Linked DNA regions of Coturnix japonica. The protein of the gene in region 1 interacts with the protein of each later gene in a pairwise test. Links are inferred from orthologs where the notes say so. Each region holds a gene or a part of one and is shown on either strand. Other genes may lie near its edges.

Evidence for each region.
Region 2: the proteins of KIFC3 (region 1) and MED4 interact in binary tests that used the Homo sapiens proteins (3 or more experiments, as listed by UniProt). The two-hybrid records come from large-scale screens. The link is inferred for Coturnix japonica from reciprocal best matches to the Homo sapiens genes KIFC3 and MED4.

The regions. Positions count from the first base shown.
Region 1 is NC_029526.1:1,973,378-1,979,529, forward strand, and holds part of KIFC3 (kinesin-like protein KIFC3), read right to left. Parts: intron 5,066-6,152; coding exon 5,000-5,065; intron 4,925-4,999; coding exon 4,784-4,924; intron 4,718-4,783; coding exon 4,478-4,717; intron 4,385-4,477; coding exon 4,211-4,384; intron 4,108-4,210; coding exon 3,960-4,107; intron 3,887-3,959; coding exon 3,756-3,886; intron 3,679-3,755; coding exon 3,567-3,678; intron 3,495-3,566; coding exon 3,313-3,494; intron 3,232-3,312; coding exon 3,127-3,231; intron 2,949-3,126; coding exon 2,818-2,948; intron 2,418-2,817; coding exon 2,294-2,417; intron 2,108-2,293; coding exon 1,978-2,107; intron 1,889-1,977; coding exon 1,659-1,888; intron 1,446-1,658; coding exon 1,311-1,445; intron 1,225-1,310; coding exon 1,125-1,224; intron 813-1,124; coding exon of another isoform or gene 808-812; exon of another isoform or gene 786-807; intron 598-785; coding exon 572-597; 3' UTR 1-571. UniProt on the Homo sapiens protein: Minus-end microtubule-dependent motor protein. Involved in apically targeted transport. Required for zonula adherens maintenance.
Region 2 is NC_029516.1:150,968,848-150,975,669, reverse strand, and holds the start of MED4 (mediator of RNA polymerase II transcription subunit 4), read left to right. Parts: upstream 1-2,814; 5' UTR 2,815-2,887; coding exon 2,888-2,985; intron 2,986-3,884; coding exon 3,885-3,951; intron 3,952-4,600; coding exon 4,601-4,771; intron 4,772-5,390; coding exon 5,391-5,448; intron 5,449-6,271; coding exon 6,272-6,358; intron 6,359-6,822. UniProt on the Homo sapiens protein: Component of the Mediator complex, a coactivator involved in the regulated transcription of nearly all RNA polymerase II-dependent genes.

The DNA.
Region 1 (6,152 bases):
CTTGAGAAGACAACCGTTCAGTCACTTTACAATAGCTTCCTTCAAGACTGCAAAGCCCCTGCTGGTGCCAGGGGGACAGCCCTGTGGCTGCTCTCCCTTTGGGCAGGGTGCATGCAGCAGCACCGGGGCGCCTTCGTGCAATAGGGCTGAGAATCCAACAGGGAAAGGAGCTGCTGGGGTTATTCTGGCTTCAAATCTGGGCTGTGCTGCTCTGAATGTGGCCGGGTTGGGGGGCATGGGGTAGAGCAGGACCTTGTGGCAGGGAGCTGGGCACAATTACACCAAACCAAACCTCATCCATGTGCCCGCTGCTCCTGCAGCCGTGTTGCCCCCAGCACGGCGAGGTGGGGGTGCTCAGCCCCGATCCTTCCAGCCAGATACCCCAACCGTCCCAAAAACAAAGCTGAAGAGGTGTCGAGGCTCCTTGCTCTGGCTAAAGCCATCTGTCCAGCAAGAATTACAAGTCACAGAGCTGCGTGTCTCACGGCGAGAGGTGCCACCACCCCCAGGCACAGCTCTGAAGGTGGCCGGGGCACCGAGGTGGGTGAGGGGCTGGGTCCTGCAGCACGTGTCACACGGGGACCGGCCTCAGCTTCCCTGTGGGGACACAACATGCATCAGGCTGGGCAGGGGGCACAGCCACCACAGCTCAAGGCCCCAAGCGATGCGGTCCCAGCAGCACCCCTGTAAGCAGCACAGCCCTGCAGCCCTCCCAGCCTGGGAAGCGAGGCTGAAGCAGAGCCTGAAGCAGAGCCCATCACCAGCTCCCAGCCAACCACACTCACCTGGCAGCCACTGCTGCCCAATTCAGGCTGAAATCGAAGAGAAGAGAGGTTCAGCTGCGGGCACTGCCCTGCAGCATCGCTCCCTGGCTGCCCCATGTGCAGCCCTGGCTGCTTTGCCCCATGTGGCCCCTCACTGCCCTGTGCTGGGACAGGGCACTTCAGGGGAAGCCCTAACCAGGCTCCTGCCAGCCAATTAGCCAGCGGTTAATGAGCCGATTACAGCACAGCTCACACCACGCAGCTTAGCCTGTCATCAGTGGGCTGGGAGCCTCCTCCCGTGGAAGGCCATGAGTTGGGCACTCCGGGATCATGGAGCAGGACCCCCCTGTCCTCACCCACCTGAGGTCTGCAGCTTCCTGCGGATGGAGGTGCTGCGGCCGCTGGGCAGCCCAGGGCTGGGGGATGCGTGGCTCCGGCTGGAGGATCCCGGCACATCACCCTGGGGAGAGATGGGGCACAGCCCTGGGTCAGCTGGTACCTCCAGTGATGGCACACAATGGAAGGCAATGGTGGAGCTGTGGGTACCTCCAGGTGCTCCTGGCTGGGCCAGGACACCAGCTCGGCCTTGCGGGACACAGGGCCCAGCTCCACGGAGCGGACGCGCTCGGCAAACTTCAGTGAGCACAGCGTCTCACTGCTGTTCTTCTCGGCAGGGGAGACCTGCGGGTGGGAGCAGCAGCACATCACCCAACTGACACCCCCACACCCACCCCTCCCTGCTGCTCAATGGGGTCAGGGGGCTGCTATTATTAACCCACCACCCCCAGGATAGCCCCCAGCCGCCGTCTGCACCAGGCACGACCCCGTCACCAGCAGAGAGAAGCCACGGCAGGTGGCACATTGCACAGGGGGTGGGGGACGGGGAACCCAGACCTGCACCATCATGAGGGTCTTGCTGTCCCCGCTGAGCGAGTCCTGCAGCAGGTAGGTCAGCTTGGAGTTGCGGAAGGGCACGTGGCCCTGGCGGGAGCGCAGCGCATAGATGACGTCCCCCAGCGCTGACAGTGACCTGTTGATGTACTGAGCCTCACGCAGCCGGCTGCCCTCTGCACCCGAGCGCCCGACACGCTCCGAGCCTGCCAGGTCCACCAGATTCAGCTTCCCTGGGGGCACAGACAGATGTCAGCACCGCCAGCACTACCATGCAGCCCTGCCAGGGGGCACAGCAACCACCCAGGGGCACAGCACCCACCCGTGGTGCGCAGCCCCGTGCTGCGGTCGAGGCCGCGGACGGTGACGATGAGCAGCGCGTGGGAGCGGGAGCTGTGCTCGTTCAGGTTGGTGCACTCCGTCACACGGTTGACGTGGCCAAACTCAAAGACCTGAGGGTGAGGAGGGGGTGAGGCTGCGATCTGCTCGTCCCCCCATCCACCCGTGCCCTGTGCTTTTATTTCCAGTGCCCCTGCAGCACGCCCAGGGCCTATTCTGGGCTCTGTTTCTCCCCATCCTGGGACAACACTGCAGAGCCACCAACACACCGTGGGATGACTGCCAGCTCACTGCCTCACCTTGTTGATGTCCTCCACGCTCTGCACGCTGAACTCAGTCAGCCCAGGCACATAGAGCTGCCCGCTGCCATCAGGGCACAGCTTGATCTCCAGCTTCTCCTGGGGCTCCTTCCCCAGCAGGTCCCTGCGAGGGGGAACCCATCAGCACCCAGCTCCCATCAGATCAGAGCCCGCTGCCTCCAGAGGTGCAGCACAATGAAGATGTGCACTCAGGGCTGGTCCCTGCAGTGTTGGAGAGCCCCTGCGGCTGCTGCCGTCACTCCCCCAACCCCCAGCGTCCAGGCAGGGCAGGAAAATGTTTCTCATTCCCTTGGCTCCCAGAGCACAGTTTCTAAATATAACGGCCAAGGAGCCAGGCCAAGGGGAAGGGTTTGGAGCCCGGCAGAGGAAGCGGGGGGAGCCCAAATAAGCAGAAACGGCTCAAAGGGAGACAGGACCCAGACCAGTGCTTCCTTACACGGCCAACGCTGAGCCCCGAGGGCTCCACGTGATGCTGTGCCCCAGCCAAGGGCTCACATCCCTACCTGAGAGCCTCGTTGTAGATCTCGGCCACGCTGACGCTGATGGCATAGTCCCAGTCAGCCGCTTTGCTCCGCACCTCGGAGAAGAGCAGCTGCAGGGCCCGCTGGTTGATACCCGGGTTGGTGGAGGTTCCCTGGTGCATGGGGAGAGAAATGACCCGTTGGGCTTTTTCCCGATGCAGCTGAGCAGAAGCAAAGCTCAGGGGTTGCAGAAACAGCCGGGACTGGTCCAGCGCCAGCCTGCGTTAATGATAGCACTGGGACACAGGGCACTGCAAGGAAGAAGAGGGAGGCAAAGCCAGGCAAACTCACCTCCATTGTGTAGGTCTTCCCTGCCCCTGTCTGTCCATAGGCAAAAATGCAGACGTTGTACCCATCGATGCAGGAGGTGACCAGAGCCTGAACCTCTTGAAACACCTGCAGGGGGCCAGAGGGCATCAGGGGACGGTCCCACAGCCCTCATTCCTCCCACTGTTAGTGGCGTGAAGCAGCACCCACCTCCTCCTGGGACGCCTGAGGAGGAAACACCTTGTCCAACTCAAAGGACACCTGCTTCCCCTTGTGCAGGAGGTGCAGGACGGCGTCGTCATCCGCATCGAACGTCACCGCACTGACCGCCTCCGGGCCCTCTCCATCCTCCTTAGTGATGGGGCGGACTCTCCCAAAGACACGGATGTTCCCTTGGGGGAGCAGAGGCATCAATCAGCCCCGCTGTGGCACCCGGCCATTCCCTCAGCCCGGCCCCAACGCACCTTTCAGCCGCACCAGCTCGTTGTGGCACTTCTTGCGGAGCTGCAGCTCGCGGCGGTATTTGCGCAGCAGTTCCCTGTTGGTGCTGTTCACCTCCTCAATGGCTTGGCCGATCTGAGTGAAGGATGATGCTCAGCCTCCCACCCACACACCACACAGGGTGAGGGGCTCCGGGCTGACCCCATACTCACCTCAGCCCTGGCGCTCCGCAGGGTCTCCTGGAGGAGCAGGGGGAAATCCCGCACCTGCCGCTTCAGGCTGTTGTAGTCGTGGGTCAGGGTGCGCAGCGCCGGCTGCAGCGTCAGCAGGTTGGTCCGCACGCCTGTGGGCAGCATGGGGTGAGGATGGGTGGCCCTGACCCCCACGAGCCCCACAAACCCCATTGCCCTCCTCACCCGCCAGGTTCTCATGCACCGCCTTCATCTCCACTTGGGCGCGGGAAAACGCCTCTTCGATGGCACGGTTCTTCTCGTCCTCCATCGCCTGCATCTCCTCCAGCATCTGCCCATGGGCCCGCTCCAGCTCCGACTCATACATGGCAATCTGGGGGGATCGGTGGGGTAAGGCAGCACCGACAATTAATGCACATCAGTCCCAGGTGCCGCCTGGTTCACATCACTGCACTGCTGTGCCTGCAGACCCGTACCTGTGCCCGGAGCTGAGCTGCCGTCTTCTGGGAGCTCTGCAGCTGCTGCTCCATCTCCTTCAGCACCTGCCTCTGCATCCCCACCTGCTCCTGCAGGTACTGATTTCGGGACTGGCTTTCACACAGCGCCTGCTTTGCCTTGGCTGACTCCACCTCCACCGTCTTGATGATGTACTGCACAAAGCGCCCACAGACGACGGTGTATTACGGACCGAGGTCACGGCACCGCGGCACAGCCAGCAGGAGGCACAGCCCCGCGGTGCTCACCTTTATCTGCTGGGGCTGAGCCCTGAGGCTGGCGATGGTCTCCTGGCTGTCCCGCAGCCGCCGGCTGAGCCGCTCCTCCTCCTGCGCTCTCTCGGCCAGCGAATCCTTCAGCCTCAGCTCCACCTCGGCCAGACGGTTCGTCTTCTGCTGCACCTCCAGCTCCAGCTCGGCCAGCTTGGCTCGGGCTTCCTCCGCCTCCCTCTGCAGCTGGCACAGCCGCTCCTGCAGCCCGGCGTTCTCCTGGCCCCAAAGCAGGCTCAGCCTTGGCCGTGGCACCCGCAGCCCCACGGCTCACCCGCAGCTCACCTGGAGGTGCGTGCAGTCCCGACACGCCGCCTGCTGCCGCCGCAGCTCCCTTAACTCCCCTTCCCGTGCCTTCATCTCCTGCCGCAGCCTCTCATTCTCAGCCACCAGCAGGTCCCGGTGCTTCTCCGCATCCGTTCCCCCCTGCGGAACGTCAGCGTGTGATGGGAGCCCCCCCCAGTCCCACTTTATCCCCCCCCCCGCAGCCGGTGAGCTCACCATCTCCGAGCGCAGCCTGCCGATCTCCTGCGCCTGCTCACGGAGGTTCGCCTTCAAGTTTTCAACCTGCACACATGGGGAAGCACAAAGCTGTGCTGTGCCCCCCCCCAGCCCCCACCGCTCTGCTACCCGGGAAGGGATTCCCTTCCTAACACCCCGCCAGGCGAGGAGGCACCGCACCAACCCCCGTCCCAGTGAGGCTGCCGCCCCATGCAAACGACAACAGCCTCTTCTGAACCTCCGCAGATCGTCATTTAGGAGCTGCTGATTTATAACAAATGCGAACGCGCTCAACATTGTGCTGTAATTAATTATGATAAGTTATAAAGCCACTCCCTTGTGGAGTCGGCGGCGCGGCGAGCTGCCCGAGCGCATCTCCTGCGTGTGCCGGGGCAGAGGCTGAGCAGCTCAATTCAACCCTTCCTCCGCTGCCCCCCACCCCTTTCTCAGCACAGCCCATGCAGGAGGAGGGGGACGTGGAGCCATGGCTAAGCTGCCACTCTCCTGCTTAACGAACGGTGCACCGCAGGGCTGCACTCCCCACACACAGCCCCAACCACTCCCTGCACCTTCCAGAACCTCAAGGATAAACCTCACAGGAAAGCACACCGCCCCACACACAGCTGGAAGGCCCCAGCCATGCACCAAGCACGGAGAAGAGTTGCTCCCTCTGCTCCCCAGTGCTACAGCAGCCCCGTGCCCTACCTCCTCAGGCAGCTCCGGCAGCCGCCTGCTCTCCAGGCTGCTCAGGGACCCCTTGGCTGTGTGCTGGGGGCTGAGGCACGGCCCGGCCATTGCTGAGCTCACGGAGCCCAGGTTCACCCCGTGCTGCACAGCCCCGGCACGCCAGCTGCCTGTCCTGCTTGTGTCATGCAGACTATGCCAACCAGATCCAGGACAATTACATCCACCTTTTTGACACCAGCGGAACAAGCCAAACCTGACTGTAATAGCTTCCACAACATCCACATGCAAATCCCTTTATTAGCAGCCTGGGTTTCAATCTCCCTGTAATGAGGGACGTCCTCACATCCACAGCTGTGTCTGCACCGGCAGGAGGAGCATTAGGGGGTCAGCACTGAGGCCAGTCCCCGTCCACAGCAGCACATCAAGCACCAACACAGACACGCACTGCTCCTCATTCAAGACAGCT
Region 2 (6,822 bases), on another chromosome or scaffold:
TCTAAATTACAGTGACCCTGTGAGGTGATAACAGCAGGGGTTAAGAAATACAGGCAGTATCCTTGGAGTCTTTGCACCAGAGGAATGATAGGCTGAAATTACACTTGAATGTGAATAAGGGAAGCATCCCTCTTTACTTCTGGCCACATCTGCCCTTGTGTCTACTGAGCCAGCAATGGCTACAGTGAAGCCAATTACTTCGGCAAGCTCATCTAACAGAAGGCAATTGCACCAGGAAAAAATGAAGCTTTTCTGTTGAATTTGTTTGCTCACCTGATTCATTGTGTGCTTTCAGTTACATAAAGAGGAATGAGATAGAATGCGTGGCCAAAGAGAGATGGGGGGAGACTCACTGTGCATGGAGAGCTATCTTCATGGCCACCAACTAAAAATCTTCTCAAGCTACTGAGAAAAAACAGGGAATGATGCTTAGCTATTCAGGAAATGCATAAGCTTTAAAGGAGCAGATCTGGCTCAACACCAACACAACTATGAAACAAGTTTACTCAGGGGAAAGAAATCCAAAAGCACTGAGGAACCAAGGAAACAGAGGAACCTACACTGGGGAAACAGATGCTCCGTTGTTTTGTGCGGCTCAGAAGTCTATTCAGCAAATCATCCACTTAGTCTTAAACAAGTGGGCCATGGGGCAAGTTTAGGGTGCAAGCCCATTTAACCCAGCCTTCCCCTTTGCCCAGAAGGAGATGACCTCTCTACCACAGTCTGAATGACGCTCTATGTCTTCACACAGGCAGGCATTTCCCAATGCCTCTGGCCTCAGCCCATCCTCCCACGTAGAGGCAGGAGCTCAAATTCAGCCTTTGCCTGGGAACCTGCCCTTGATATCCTCTACTCCATCCCCAGAGCAAGGAGAGGGGAAGGATCAGACACCAGAACAAAAGCACGATGAACACGCTGCCTAGAGGAGGGTCGTCAGCCTGGGAAGCGAGAGGAGGGAGGCAGCTGCTCCAATGAAAGCCTGGTGGCACTGGCCTGGCTCGTAGACATACTGTTGTCGAAAGGGATGGAGGCAACAGGCTCCTGGATGCAAGAAGGGAAAGACAGCTTGCAGGAACCTCCTACACCCTTGGCCTGTCAAGTTTGGGCGTCCAATTAATGCTATAAGTTTTAGCTCTAGCATCGCGGCCCTGAAATGTATTAGAAATACATCAGGCCTAAATAATTCAGATGTCAAAATGAATGCGAGGAAGAAAATGATTTAGCAGAAGGATTGCTTTACTTTCTGAAGCTGCTATTTTCTTTCTGCTCATGCAGCCATACAGACACTCTAACAAATCAGTGAAGTGGATGCACAACCAGACAGCATCACTGATTACATCTTTCCTTGAACAAAAACAGTGAAAAAAAAAAAAAGCAAGAAAAAGTTATTTAAAGAGTAGAACTATTTGATGAGATTTTATCTGCTGTGTAGCTTCAAGAGAATTCCCAAACTATCTACCATCAGGACTCTGAGGGCTGTTGTATATTGTAAATGAATATTAAATAACTCTCGTTGGCGGTTATCTCCATTTCAGGGTTGCCAAATCTCACTGCTTCATCATGGATCTCATAACGCTGAATTGTTTATTTAAACCACAATTCAAAGGATCGTTGATTAATGAGTTTCTTGCCTTTCATTTTTTTAATAAGTGTAAATTTCTCAGGGACGTACTTATTACAGAAGGTAAAAAGATAATCAGCGTTAGTATTAGAACATCCAGAGACGTTATCATTCATCTGAAGCTTTCTCTAATGAAGAGAGAAGTGAATCACTGCTTTGCTGGCGGGTTCGGCAGCTGCCTGCTGGCAAGAGAAGAATGTGGAGGCTGAGGACACCATGGCTTCTGCCTAAGTCCTCACCCCAGACATAAACCCTGGCTCTGGATTTGTTTTCACTCCTCATCTGCCTCCACCTTCCGTCCTGATCTCTTCATATTACCAGAAGATTTCATGAATGTAAAAAATTCCACTGGCTTCAGTCTGGCTTCTTTTGTGTCCCCACCCAGAGCCAGAGGCCTGTTTACAGAACCACCCGAATTACAGCAACACTTAAAAAAACCCCAAAACATAACCCATACAACTCAGTATATTTTAATTCTAGCTCAACTGCTGACATGACAGAGGGCAGCACTTGCATGTTTGCTGCCCTGTCATTGCAAGCAGACCTCTGTAATGAAGCAGAGCTGCGGTTGGCTACTATGGGCAAGCCTTGGCAAATTGGGATGGTCATTTTTCCTTGATAGCTGTGAAGTCCTGCTGTTTGTGGGATAGGAAACCTAGGCAAGAGGTGATCCTGGCTCCTTCAGCATCACTCTTAACATTCTTCAGCCACTTTCCTCCTCCATCTGATAAAGCCACCTAAAGGATTTTCAGACATCAGCACCCACAGACACTGAGTACGAAATGATAAGATGGAATTCAGTCATACCCCCTTTCTTTATCATTTGCTTTCTAGATCTTTAGAGTAGGTATGAATCCCATTTAGAGGCTCTTAGAGTCACCGTCTCTGGAGGAGTTCAAGAGCCGGGCAGCTGTGGCACTGAGGTACACGGTTAGTGTGCATGGCGGGATGAGCTGGTGGTTACGAACTTAGGCTCAGAAACGATTCTAAGCACAGTTCCACCTACAAAGAACTAGCTCCATGACACGGCGCTCACAAGCCCACACCTAAAGCCGAAGCGAACGTCATCTCCGCCCCCCGACATGGCGGCTCCCCACGCCCCAGCCTCCCGCGCCGTCCCGCCCTTCCCCGCCCCTCAGGGCGGCCGTTGCCGCTTCCCGCCTCCTGCCGGTCGTGCCGCAGTCCCTCGGCCGCTGGAGGCGCTGTGTCCCGCTGTGTCCCGCCCGAGCGGGGCTGGATTACGGCGGGGGCGGGTCCGCGAGCGTGATGGCGGCTGCGGCAACGGCGGCCGGGGGAGGTGGTGAGCGGAGCAGCACCAGGGAGAGGCTGCTGGCGGCGCTGGAGGATCTGGAACTCCTGGCCAGGTACCCGATGGGATGGCCGAGACTCGGTGTCGAGGCTCCGGCGGGGAAAGCGAGCGAGGAGCCGGGGTTGGGTTGAAGGATGAGCGGCGGCCTGGGGCCGAACGCACGCGTGGGGCCCGGGGGGCAACAGGAGAGCTGTGTCCGTGCTCTGGTTCGTGTGCTCGGAGCTTTGTTCCTCGCTGGCACCTGTGCAGTCTGCCTCCCAAGCAGTCTGTCTCTCCAGCAGCTCTTATTACTCGCTACCAACCTGCCGTGTGGCTCAGTGACTGCCACAGGGATAGTGGGCATGGTGGGAAGAGCTGATGGATGGACTGGATGTAATTACAGGTCTTCTTCAGCCTTAATGATTCTGCGATAGCAAACCCAAAGCCTGTCAGCAACATGTGAGTGATCAGCAGTACCATGGAGCTGGGCCTTTCACAGTCGCAATCAACTTTATTCTAGTCGTAGAGAATGTCATTAAGGTTGGAAAAGACCTCTTGAATCATCTAATCCAACCATCACCCTGTCCCTACCATGCCCACTAAGCACATCCCTCAGTGCCACAGCTATATGTTTCTTGAGCACCTTCAAGGATGGTAACTTCATTGCTCCATTTGAGGTTCTTTGTGGCTCTACATGATGGTGGGAAAACTAAATGGAGGCAAGATCAAGAGGTCTGTTTGAGAAGCTCTTTTAAGCTAATTCTTGTGAGTTTGGTGCACAGCTGATACACCATTGTGAAATACTTATGTTTATGGAAGTAAAAGTGAAATCCCTGTCAACACTGTGATGTAAAACTGTAAAATACTTAAGAACAAGAATGATTTAATAATGATGTAAATACTCAGTTGGGGATGATTTGGTGTGATTTACAAATAATAGCTTAGAAAACTGCATAAATACTGTTTTCCTTTTAGGGAACTAATTGAAATTTTGGCAATTTCAAGAAACCAGAAGCTTCCACAACCAGGAGAAGAGAGCCAGGTAAATTGACTTTCTTAGTTGCTATCCTTTTTGCAGGTAAATGCTATGTCTTCTTATTTTCTCCCTTTGTACATGAACTAACAGAATCACAGATCACAGAATGAGCCGGGTTGGAAGGGACCTCAAGGATCATGTAGTTCCAACCCTCCTGCCTGGCAGGGCCACCAAACATACACCTTTACTAGATCAGGTTGCCCAGGGCCCCGTCCAACCTAGCCTTGAACACCTCCAAGGACGGGGCATCCACAACCTCCCTGGGCAGCCTGTTCCAAGGCCTAACCACTCTCCTAGTGAAGAACTTCCCCCTAACATCCAACCTAAATTTTCCTTCTTTTAACTTAAAACCATTTCCCCATGTCCTGCTATTGTCAGCCATTTCGAAGAGTTTACTCCCCTCCTGGGTGTCCTGAGACTTAGTCCTGAGACTGAGGACTCCTAACGATGATGATGAAGCTTTGGCATCACTGAAAAAGCATTCTTGGTTTCATGTTTTTGATTGCTTGTTCATTTGTTTCATGCTTCGTAGGCTGTTTCTGCAAGCTGAGCAAGAAATAATAATCTTGTGGATATCAGTTGCTTTTTGCAGTGTGGTGGAGGGTGCGTTGTTACTTGAGCTAATTAAAAGTTCTACAAAACTCTTGTCTAATAGATCCTGGAGCTGCTGATTCAGAGAGATGGAGAGTTTCAAGAGCTAATGAAGTTGGCAGTTGATCAGGGGAAAATCCATCATGAAATGCAGCTTTTAGAAAAGGTAGTAGAAAAGAGAGATAATGACATTCAGCAGCTGCAGAAGCAACTGAAAGAAGCAGAGCACATACTGGTAAGTTCATAATGATGTGTTTGCTTCTGAGCATCTGCTAGTAGGGAGGGGAAAAGCTTTGGAGAAAGTTTTGTGTTAGTTTGAGAAGTTTGAAATGTTTAAAACTTTGTGAGAGCTTTAGAGTTGGTTGTTTTATTGTCTTCCCCCCCTCCCAGTAAAACTACTTCCTTATCATGGCATTCAGTTACTTTATATTGATAATTTTCTACAAATCTACTTTGTTTCTGTATATTTTGAAGCGTTTCCGGAGAAGTTTCTCTCCTAAAATGCAGTTACATCAAGGGTTTAGTCACACAGATCTTAATACAGAAGGATACAAATGAAAGATACAGTGAAGTTTTGGTTTAGAGTCATAGAATCACCAAGGTTGGAAAAGACCTAAAAGATCATCCAGTCCAACCGTTCACCTATTACCAATAGCTCCCACTAAACCATGTCCCTCAACACAACATCCAGTCATTCCTTGAACACCCCCATGGTCGGTGACTCCACCACTTTCCTGGGCAGCCCATTCCAGTGCATGACCACCCTTTCTGAGAAGTATTATTTCCTAATGTCCAGCTTGAATCTCCCCTGCTGTAGATAGTGTTGTTTCTTTCTTGTTTTTTTTCACATTTAGGCCACAGCGGTTTATCAAGCAAAGGAAAAACTGAAATCAATTGAAAAGGCAAGGAAAGGTGAGTATCCGCGATCGTACATAACATACAAACAGTTGTAAAGAGTGTTGCAAGTGAGCTCAAGTTAGTAATCTAAGTTAGTAATTTTCTCTTAAGGCTATTACAGATTTCATATTGCCTAAATCAAATCATTTCAGTGTGACTACCTGGAAAAGTGAAAGGGTTTTTTTTGTGTACATGTATATGATACCATTGTTTATAAAAGACTGATTAGCTGGTGATATTTGTTTGTATTTGTATCAATTGCTGCTATGAGTGGCAGTTTCCCAGTCAAACTGATTTTTTTTTCTTCTTTTTTTTTGGTAGGCAGCATTTTTAAGTTTTGTTTATAGTCATTTTTGCCATACTTCCTTCTAAACAAATCAAGGAATTTCAGAATGATTCTAGTAACTCTAATACAAGTGTATTTATTAGAGGAACTTGAATACAAGTGTATTTATTAGGGGAAGGTCTACTGCGTACATGTATAACTACAGCTACGAAGAAGAAAGAGATTTTAATTACTGCAGAACTTCTGTAGTAAAAGTGCTGAAATTTTCTTTAACAATGTGCTTGTCAAGTGCACTGTGGAAGATACTGGTTTGTGTTTCTTCAAAAGGCTGAAGACCTGTTAACACTCCAAGGTATACGGAACATGTGGCTGGAAAGTGAATTCACTATGACGCTTGTTCTGAATCTCTGATCAGTCATTGCATTTGAAGCATATTTTGATGTTTGACAGAATGACTTTCCTAATTTTTTCTGTATGAAAAACCATCCAATATTCAGAAATAATCAAACGATGCAGTCTCTTAAATACAGGAACTTTTCTTCCTTCTTCCAGGTGCCATTTCATCTGAAGAAATAATTAAATACGCCCACAGGATCAGTGCTAGTAATGCTGTTTGTGCCCCTCTGACGTGGGTACCAGGTAAATATCGTGCTTATGACTATTCTTGTTCTTGAATAATAGAGCACAATCAGTATCTGGTTTTAGAATGTTTTTACACAATGAAGGACAGTTTGATTTATTAAAGATATGTATATTTTTATAGCTGTTACATCTAGGGTTTCTGAAGAAATTTAATGATCCATACTGCACATGATGTTATGATGTGGAATTTTGACAGCAACGTTACAAAACCATGACAACTTGTCATAGAATGACTTGGGTTGCAAGGGACCTTAAAGACCATCCAGTTTCAAACCCTCCACTAGACAAGGTTGCCCAGAGCTCCCATCCAACGCAACTGTCAGTATTTCCAAGGATGGGGCTTCCCCAGCCTCCATGGGCAACCTGTTCCAGTGCTTCACCACCTTCATATTGAAGAATGGCTTGCTTATATCTAATGTAAATCTACTTTTAGATCTAATTTGGTTTATATCTAATCCCAG